Caenorhabditis elegans: one gene and its partners. The protein of the gene in region 3 purifies or fractionates together with the protein of the main gene of each other region. This does not show direct contact. Each region holds a gene or a part of one and is shown on either strand. Other genes may lie near its edges.

Evidence for each region.
Region 1: the proteins of Y69A2AR.18 (region 3) and R05D3.6 purify together in Caenorhabditis elegans (affinity purification with mass spectrometry, with the first as the bait; one large-scale study listed by BioGRID). This does not show direct contact.
Region 2: the proteins of Y69A2AR.18 (region 3) and ZC262.5 purify together in Caenorhabditis elegans (affinity purification with mass spectrometry, with the first as the bait; one large-scale study listed by BioGRID). This does not show direct contact.

What each region holds. Positions count from the first base shown.
Region 1 is NC_003281.10:8,349,906-8,352,621, forward strand, and holds R05D3.6 (Putative ATP synthase subunit epsilon, mitochondrial), read right to left. Parts: upstream 901-2,716; coding exon 820-900; intron 598-819; coding exon 514-597; downstream 1-513. Other genes in the region: unc-116 (Kinesin heavy chain), read right to left, coding at 1,902-1,906, 2,150-2,441, 2,492-2,716. UniProt on the Caenorhabditis elegans protein: Mitochondrial membrane ATP synthase (F(1)F(0) ATP synthase or Complex V) produces ATP from ADP in the presence of a proton gradient across the membrane which is generated by electron transport complexes of the respiratory chain.
Region 2 is NC_003281.10:8,341,621-8,344,526, forward strand, and holds ZC262.5 (Putative ATP synthase subunit epsilon, mitochondrial), read right to left. Parts: upstream 991-2,906; coding exon 910-990; intron 688-909; coding exon 604-687; downstream 1-603. Other genes in the region: ZC262.7 (Kinesin motor domain-containing protein), read right to left, coding at 2,151-2,531, 2,582-2,716. UniProt on the Caenorhabditis elegans protein: Mitochondrial membrane ATP synthase (F(1)F(0) ATP synthase or Complex V) produces ATP from ADP in the presence of a proton gradient across the membrane which is generated by electron transport complexes of the respiratory chain.
Region 3 is NC_003282.8:2,494,039-2,498,258, forward strand, and holds Y69A2AR.18 (F-ATPase gamma subunit), read left to right. Parts: upstream 1-1,696; 5' UTR 1,697-1,710; coding exon 1,711-1,797; intron 1,798-1,844; coding exon 1,845-1,949; intron 1,950-2,001; coding exon 2,002-2,251; intron 2,252-2,305; coding exon 2,306-2,415; intron 2,416-2,464; coding exon 2,465-2,711; intron 2,712-3,278; coding exon 3,279-3,379; 3' UTR 3,380-3,637; downstream 3,638-4,220. Other genes in the region: Y69A2AR.19 (Protein-tyrosine-phosphatase), read left to right, coding at 1-25; ccdc-12 (Coiled-coil domain-containing protein 12), read right to left, coding at 514-729, 783-936, 990-1,129; Y69A2AR.16 (Exportin-4), read left to right, coding at 3,779-3,820, 3,994-4,096.

The DNA of each region.
Region 1 (2,716 bases), on a different chromosome or scaffold from region 3:
CGTCTCCCTGCTTCGTTTTTATCGACTAAGTGAACTTTGATCGAATGAAAATATTGTCATTTGTCATTTGTATTATTCAACTACATTAAATTTAGAGTTTAATGGTGCATGAATCATTTTCCAGGACTCGGCGCGATTTTTTATGGAGGCTGAAGTTCTGTATTAATTTAACAACTGTACTTCTTCTTCATTTGAAATATTTTTAAACACTGCCATGCGTTCTAGCACGAGCGAAACTTGTAAGCCACCGTACCAGCACCTACACGAGGTACGGTAACTGAAAACTTTTTCACGTGCCAGGACCCCGTTCCGGGAGTTTGTTTTGTCGGATTTTTATTATTCTGGTCAATACTCATTTTTTCTCACTTTTTCAAACGCTTTCAAACAAAACTAAGAGTTTATTATTGCACACAAATCAATAAAAAATGCGGAAAATGGCATATTGCACCGAACTTGATGAAACCTATTTGTTTATTTTTTTCTCAAATGGAAATGATCAATTATCGAATGAATCTATTGAGACTTGGACACCATCTTTCCATTCTCCCAAGCAGTGGTCTTCAAGGTGGCTTGGGGCTTCTTCACGTTGGCGCCTCCCTGTAATTTTTGATAATTTTTGCGATTTTTCATACTTTGATGTGGGACAAAAATGTGTGAACCTTTAGGAGCCCAGTAATTAATTACCGGTAATTTTCAGAAACATATTACTTAATTGAAACCTATAGGTTATAACTTGAAAAATGATAAACAGAAAATTAACGGAACGGGTTACTGTACCACTTAAAGGGGCATATATTGTTATTTAAGGGTCCAACAAACCTTGGTGCACTGACGAACGACTTGTGCGGCGATTTGTGAATAACGGACGTAGTTGAGTCCAGCAGCTCTCCAGGCGACCATTTTTGATTTTGGGGGAAAGTTATTTAACCTTAATTTATACTATAAAATAATAAAATTTTCAGAAAAAGGAAGTAAATTGAAAGGTATGGAGAACAACCTTTAGACTAGAGAAATCTGTAAAATAAAAAATAAAAACTTTATACAGTCAAAGTTCAACAGGAAACTTGATAATATTCGAAAGTTACTGAATAATAATTAGTTGGTCCAAAATGGAAACAAAACTATCAATAAATATTTAATTACATTAAACTTATTTCTCATAGTTTTCAATGATATTCTCACTCCAGAACACTAATCAGTTAAGCTCATGCGTTTGTTGGTTATTCTTGCTCGTATGTTATTGTAAAATCTTGTTTAAAAAACAGCAAAACGTTTATTTAATAACAGAAAAAATAATAATTTTATTTACTGGAAGAGCAAAAGATACAAAAAAATGAATTACGCAATTGGGATGTGCGGGGATTTGGGGGCCGAATTGTGCAGAAACGAAACAAGTTGATTTCTTATGAAGAATGATAGGGGGATTTAGCAAGCAAGCTTTAAAGACACTCAAACGCATGCAAAAAACAATCATAGGAGTGTTGGTGGGTGACGGGGGGAAGAACCAGACAAAACCTCGTGTCAGATTAGTAAAACTGAAACAGGAAAATCGTATAGAAACAGACTATTAGAACAAAAAGGCGGAAAAAGGCAATTTGGGTGGGGGTGGAGGGAAGCTTTAAATACTTTTAGCTTTTGAAGTTTTGTATTCTACATGGAAGACGAGAAGCCAAGGAACGAAATGGGGAGACACAACCAACCAAATGAAGATATTTTTGTTGAAACTTCCAGAAGCCGCGTAATTGTATAAGTTACTAGATTTTAAAATAAACAGAAAAGCCCATCGAAAGTATATCACAAAGCCGGGAAAAGAAGAGAGATAGAGAAGCATTTGAATGTCAGTCTTCAGTGTATTGATTGGATCAAAGAAGACGATGAGTTGATGTTGTTGTTGGGAGACATTATGCTGAAAAACTTTGATTAGTGAAAAATGGACGGACAAAAGACTGTTAAATTTGATAATACGGTAGGAAGAAAAAGAAACACTCACTCTAATTCTAATTCATAGTATAATTACTTGTGAAAAATTACATGAGCACTAAAGAATTTTTAAAAAAATCTTAAATTTCTGCAATCAACTGTGAAATAGTCATTTTTGATGGTATCTGATTGCGAGATGTTGAAGGTGTAGATGTCTGACTAAACACACCGTTTGAGCCATTTGGAGCTCCTTGTGACATTCCTGCTGACGGAGACGTATACACTTGTCCTGGACGGATTGGCTTCACAATTTGTGGAGCATTCATTCGTCGCATGTTACGTTGTCGAACAGCTTCCTTGATTCGTTCAACTTCTTGTTGATACTTCTTTCGTTCTGCTTGACTACGTTGCTTCGAATCACGAAGAGCAGTTTCTAATATTTTGATGCGATCTTCACGACCACGAAGACGAGCTTCCATCTTTGGCAGTTCAACGCGCAAATCGGCATTGTCGCGAACAAGCTGAAAATTCAAGTTTTAAGATAATCAAAATGAGAATAAAAACGACAAACCTGCTTGTGAACCTTCGTCAACTTGTCCAAATTGTTCTCCAAGAACTGAATTCGTTGCTTTTGAGCTGGTCCACTGAGAGAATCTTCTCCCTCGGTGTCTTGATTGGCTTGGCATCGAGCAACAAGTACTCTCATGAACTCCTTTTTCAAATTCTTCAACGTTGTAAGCTCCATATTGACACGATCTGTTAGTGGCTTGATCTCCTTTGCCGCCTGATCCTTCAC
Region 2 (2,906 bases), on a different chromosome or scaffold from region 3:
CTGCTCGTGAATTATGGGCAAATTCGAAAGTTGAAGGTTACACTTAAAATTGGAATATCTAGTTTTTAATGTATTATTTCAGGTGTCCGTCGTCTCCCTGCTTCGTTTTTATCGACTAAGTGAACTTTGATCGAATGAAAATATTGTCATTTGTCATTTGTATTATTCAACTACATTAAATTTAGAGTTTAATGGTGCATGAATCATTTTCCAGGACTCGGCGCGATTTTTTATGGAGGCTGAAGTTCTGTATTAATTTAACAACTGTACTTCTTCTTCATTTGAAATATTTTTAAACACTGCCATGCGTTCTAGCACGAGCGAAACTTGTAAGCCACCGTACCAGCACCTACACGAGGTACGGTAACTGAAAACTTTTTCACGTGCCAGGACCCCGTTCCGGGAGTTTGTTTTGTCGGATTTTTATTATTCTGGTCAATACTCATTTTTTCTCACTTTTTCAAACGCTTTCAAACAAAACTAAGAGTTTATTATTGCACACAAATCAATAAAAAATGCGGAAAATGGCATATTGCACCGAACTTGATGAAACCTATTTGTTTATTTTTTTCTCAAATGGAAATGATCAATTATCGAATGAATCTATTGAGACTTGGACACCATCTTTCCATTCTCCCAAGCAGTGGTCTTCAAGGTGGCTTGGGGCTTCTTCACGTTGGCGCCTCCCTGTAATTTTTGATAATTTTTGCGATTTTTCATACTTTGATGTGGGACAAAAATGTGTGAACCTTTAGGAGCCCAGTAATTAATTACCGGTAATTTTCAGAAACATATTACTTAATTGAAACCTATAGGTTATAACTTGAAAAATGATAAACAGAAAATTAACGGAACGGGTTACTGTACCACTTAAAGGGGCATATATTGTTATTTAAGGGTCCAACAAACCTTGGTGCACTGACGAACGACTTGTGCGGCGATTTGTGAATAACGGACGTAGTTGAGTCCAGCAGCTCTCCAGGCGACCATTTTTGATTTTGGGGGAAAGTTATTTAACCTTAATTTATACTATAAAATAATAAAATTTTCAGAAAAAGGAAGTAAATTGAAAGGTATGGAGAACAACCTTTAGACTAGAGAAATCTGTAAAATAAAAAATAAAAACTTTATACAGTCAAAGTTCAACAGGAAACTTGATAATATTCGAAAGTTACTGAATAATAATTAGTTGGTCCAAAATGGAAACAAAACTATCAATAAATATTTAATTACATTAAACTTATTTCTCATAGTTTTCAATGATATTCTCACTCCAGAACACTAATCAGTTAAGCTCATGCGTTTGTTGGTTATTCTTGCTCGTATGTTATTGTAAAATCTTGTTTAAAAAACAGCAAAACGTTTATTTAATAACAGAAAAAATAATAATTTTATTTACTGGAAGAGCAAAAGATACAAAAAAATGAATTACGCAATTGGGATGTGCGGGGATTTGGGGGCCGAATTGTGCAGAAACGAAACAAGTTGATTTCTTATGAAGAATGATAGGGGGATTTAGCAAGCAAGCTTTAAAGACACTCAAACGCATGCAAAAAACAATCATAGGAGTGTTGGTGGGTGACGGGGGGAAGAACCAGACAAAACCTCGTGTCAGATTAGTAAAACTGAAACAGGAAAATCGTATAGAAACAGACTATTAGAACAAAAAGGCGGAAAAAGGCAATTTGGGTGGGGGTGGAGGGAAGCTTTAAATACTTTTAGCTTTTGAAGTTTTGTATTCTACATGGAAGACGAGAAGCCAAGGAACGAAATGGGGAGACACAACCAACCAAATGAAGATATTTTTGTTGAAACTTCCAGAAGCCGCGTAATTGTATAAGTTACTAGATTTTAAAATAAACAGAAAAGCCCATCGAAAGTATATCACAAAGCCGGGAAAAGAAGAGAGATAGAGAAGCATTTGAATGTCAGTCTTCAGTGTATTGATTGGATCAAAGAAGACGATGAGTTGATGTTGTTGTTGGGAGACATTATGCTGAAAAACTTTGATTAGTGAAAAATGGACGGACAAAAGACTGTTAAATTTGATAATACGGTAGGAAGAAAAAGAAACACTCACTCTAATTCTAATTCATAGTATAATTACTTGTGAAAAATTACATGAGCACTAAAGAATTTTTTAAAAAATCTTAAATTTCTGCAATCAACTGTGAAATAGTCATTTTTGATGGTATCTGATTGCGAGATGTTGAAGGTGTAGATGTCTGACTAAACACACCGTTTGAGCCATTTGGAGCTCCTTGTGACATTCCTGCTGACGGAGACGTATACACTTGTCCTGGACGGATTGGCTTCACAATTTGTGGAGCATTCATTCGTCGCATGTTACGTTGTCGAACAGCTTCCTTGATTCGTTCAACTTCTTGTTGATACTTCTTTCGTTCTGCTTGACTACGTTGCTTCGAATCACGAAGAGCAGTTTCTAATATTTTGATGCGATCTTCACGACCACGAAGACGAGCTTCCATCTTTGGCAGTTCAACGCGCAAATCGGCATTGTCGCGAACAAGCTGAAAATTCAAGTTTTAAGATAATCAAAATGAGAATAAAAACGACAAACCTGCTTGTGAACCTTCGTCAACTTGTCCAAATTGTTCTCCAAGAACTGAATTCGTTGCTTTTGAGCTGGTCCACTGAGAGAATCTTCTCCCTCGGTGTCTTGATTGGCTTGGCATCGAGCAACAAGTACTCTCATGAACTCCTTTTTCAAATTTAGGGAAAATTCTGGAATGTTCCAGAACTTTCTAGAAAAATTGGGAAAAGTCTGGAATGTTCCAGAACTTTCTAGAAAAATTGGGAAAAGTCTGGAATGTTCCAGAACTTTCTAGAAAAATTGAGAAAAGTCTGGAATGTTCCAGAACTTTCTAGAAAAATTGGGAAAATTC
Region 3 (4,220 bases):
TATTGCTGTCGACATGGAATATTGAGAATTGACTTGATTTTTGCCTACTAGAAGACTTGATTATGTCATTGAACTTTTTTCATGACCACCAATGAATTATTTCTTGAAACTGTTGATCAATAGTAACCTATAATTAAATATATACTTTTGCCTGTTTTTCATAGATTTCCTGAAGGAATTCCCTTTTTTCCACTGAATTTTAATGAAAAAAGGGAACTTTCTCGTCTGCAAAAAGTAAAAGATCCAAACTTTTCGGTTGTTTTTTTTGATCTTAAAAGCTTTGAAAAAAAAGAATAAATTAGTGAATTTGTCACAAAAGCTTTTTGAGCCGGAAAAGTTTGCCAAAATTACACGTTTTGTTCTGAAGGATTTAGCGAAAATCGATTTTTTTTGCTACTGGGAGTTCGGGAAGTTCATAAAAAACCTGAAATTTGTCTGAATTTCTGTTTTTTCATACTTTGTGACTCGATAACAAGATTTTTCAGTGTGTATATCCGATTTATAATTTAAATTTTACAAATTTTGTGCCGCCGCAGCATTTACTGTAGCGGCGAGATCTCCTTTTCCTTCGGCGAGCCGCTGTCTGATGATCGTCGCCACGGCTTTCTGCGTTCTCCGCTCCAATTTTTGCAATTTCGACTCGATGTCTCGCTTCAAATCCCAATCGATCTTCTTCGGAGCCAACATCGCCAGATCTACGCTGTCGATGGCTTTTTCGTGCAGAACGTCCTAGAAAAAGCGGGGAATTTATGGAAAATTGTGATTTTTCGATGACTCTCTACCTTCAAATGCTCCGTAATTTCTCGCTGAACGATATCCAGATCCATGTCGACGTTTTGCGTGCCGACGGCATCGTCTGGCTTGTGATTCCGGAATTCTCGACCAACTTCGCGACTTTTCTTGGTAGAAGTCTCGCCTTCGTCGTAATCCTCCTCTCTGAAAGGAAAAACAATAGCATTATGCAATTTTTGAATGAAAATGACACTCACTGCATCTCAATTCCATGAATCTTCGACTTCATCGCTAGTAATCGTCGTTTGCGTGCTTTCGCCGCAGCCTCTAACGACGTTTCATGATTTGTGAGACTTTCGATGTCTTCATCGGAATCGCTGTTGTTTTTGTCGGTCATCTGCAAATTTTTAATTATATTCAATACATTTCAGTAATTTTCATGTAAAAAAATCAAAGAAAAAGACGAATTTTAAGCAAAAATCAGCTGAAAAACAAAAAAAATTAATTCAAAAACTCAGTGTGGATTTACGGCGTGTGGTGGGTCTCGCCGCGAAATGGGGGTACGGTCACAGTCGTTTCGCGTGTGCGATTTATGTTTCTCGGGCGGTTGCCATTTTTTGCGCGTGAAAATTCATTTTTCCACGGATTTTCAGCGATTTTCAGGTTTTTTCTTTAATTTTTATTGATTTTCTGTTGAAAATTAACAGTTTTCATTTAGAATTACGTAAAAACAGCGTGCTGAGCGCCTGATTTTGATAAAATTAGGTCTAAATCTGAAAGTAAAAATGCGTTTTGTCCGCATTTTTCGTTTCCTTTCTGAAACCTATAGAAAACAATTTGCAATTTTTATTTCAACATTGATATATGCATACATGGAAAATTCTCATTGAATTTTTCCTGAAAACGTTCAAGAAATTACGTCATTTTCGAAGTTTTTAAATACCCGTTTTCTCAATATCTACAGTTTTCAGGGTCATCATGCTTCGTCAAGGCGCGGGAACTCTCCAGCTTGTGTCTCAAGGCTTCGCCAATGCCGAGCAGGCTCGTGGATTTGCCACTTTGAAGGTAACTAGGCGATTTTTTGAAGCTTCCCACAATTCTCCAATTTTCAGGACATTTCCATCCGTCTGAAGTCGGTCAAGAACATCCAAAAGATCACCAAATCCATGAAGATGGTTGCCGCCGCCAAGTACGCCAAGGCTGAGCGTGAGTTGAAGGTAAAACTTTGATTTTATTCAAGAAAAATCTTTAAATATCAAAATTTTCCAGGGAGCTAGAGCCTACGGAGTCGGAGCCAAGACCTTCTTCGACAACATCGATCCAGTTGTCGAGGGAGTCGAGAAGCAAGAGTCCAAGAAGCAAGTTTTGGTGCTCATTACCTCCGACAGAGGACTTTGCGGTGGAGTTCACTCTTCCATCGTCAAGGAGGCCAAGAACATCCTCAACAACGCCGGAGACAAGGAAATCCGCGTTGTAGCCATCGGAGACAAGTCCAGAGCCGGACTTCAACGTCTTTATGGTAATATTTTGGTTTTTCTCGGGAAAAAGTCTTAAAATTGTGTTTATTTTCCAGCTAACAGCATTCTTCTCTCCGGAAACGAGATTGGACGTGCTCCACCAAGCTTCGCTGATGCTTCCATCGCTGCCAAGGCTATCCTCGACTCTGGATATGACTTTGAGACTGTAAATATTCAAATTCTAGTTAAAAACCCCCCATTTTTTTTTCTTGCAGGGAACCATCTTGTTCAACCGTTTCAAGACCGTCGTCTCGTACGAAACCTCAAAGCTCCAAATTCTTCCATTGGAGGCAATCAAGGCCAAGGAAGCCCTCAGCACGTACGATTCCGTCGACGATGACGTTCTCCAATCGTATTCCGAGTATTCGCTCGCCCAATTGATCTACTACGGAATGAAGGAATCCGCAACCTCAGAGCAGAGCTCCAGAATGACTGCCATGGACGGAGCATCGAAGAACGCCGGTAAGAGGCGGCGATGGACGACGATGCGAAGAATTAGATGATTTCTGATTGAACAGCCCAGAAAATTGCAATTTTGGGCTTGAAATTTGATATTTTTGCTGGAAAACGTATTTTGGGCATTTTTGGAGTTAAAATCGGCTCATTTTCGTGATTTTTCGCGAATATTCTTTTATATTTCCAGACAATTTTCTGATTCGAATGGTTCGCATTCTGTTTTCTAGGAATATCCGGTTTTCGTGTTGCAAATCGCCGAAAAACTACTTTTCTCAACAAAAAAAACTGTTTCAAAACTTTAAAAATGGTCGATTTTCTGCAAAAAAACGTCGGAAATCGTTGAGAATCTGTTTTGTTACAATTTTTTTAAAACCATGTGGAATTTTAATTTAACGTTAAATATCCATTTTCTACTGAAAAACCAGATTTTCTTGCCCAAAAATGTTATTAAAAAATTTGCAGCGACGGGATTTCGGAGTGTCGTTTACCGGCGCGAAATCTTGTTTTTCTCAAATGTTAACTACAGAATCCAAAAAATAGCTACAACATCAAATTTAATTTCTATTTTTTCAGGAGAAATGATCGACAAGCTTACATTGGCCTTCAACAGAACTCGTCAAGCAGTGATTACTCGCGAACTTATCGAAATCATCTCTGGAGCTGCCTGCGTCTAAATATCTCTCTCTCTCTGTCCCTTTTCTACATCCATTGTTGTTCAAACTATCGCTGTTTCGACGCCCCAATTTTCCCCACTTTAAATCCTTCCTGTCACCCCCAAAAATTAGATGTTTCGATTTATTTTTTATTTTTTTGTGTGTAACCCGTTGTTATAGTGATACGTTTGAGTAAATAGTGACACAAAAACAAGCGAAATAAATATATTTTTGTATGATTTCCCGGTCGTGGAAATCATGCAAAAAAATTTGATTAGTATGGTAGTCTTAAAATATTTTTTTTGCGGAAAATTTTTGGGAAAAAATGACGGTAAGAATTACCTAATGCGGATTATTTTGGAAGAAAAAAAAATAGATTAAAAAGAAATTAATTAAAATTTTTTAGGAAAAAACCGATAAATGGATCTCGCGACGATAGAAGGATATGCACAAACCTTATTGGTAAATTTTCAGAAAATTTCAAATAAATGTTAGATTTTAACAATTATTTGCTAAAAAATTCTGAATTTTCCTGAATAATCGTTAAATCCGTGATTTTCCGAATTTTTGAGTGAAAAAAACGGCAAATTTTCGGTTTTTTTCAGGAAAAATTCTCTAAAACCCCAATTTTTCAGGCCCCACCGAACCTGGTGACGTCAGAAGCCCGTGAACAAGTCACATTCTTTTTCGAGGATTTAAAGAAGAAAATTTCAATTAACGAATGTTTAATTCTGCTCAGTACGTTGGAAAATCGCTGAAAAAACTTGGTTTTTGACAAGAAATTCACGAAAAACGCTAGGAAATCGCTAAAACCCTTAATTTTTCTCTATTTTCTCCTGAAACCCCCATTTTTCAAGCTTAA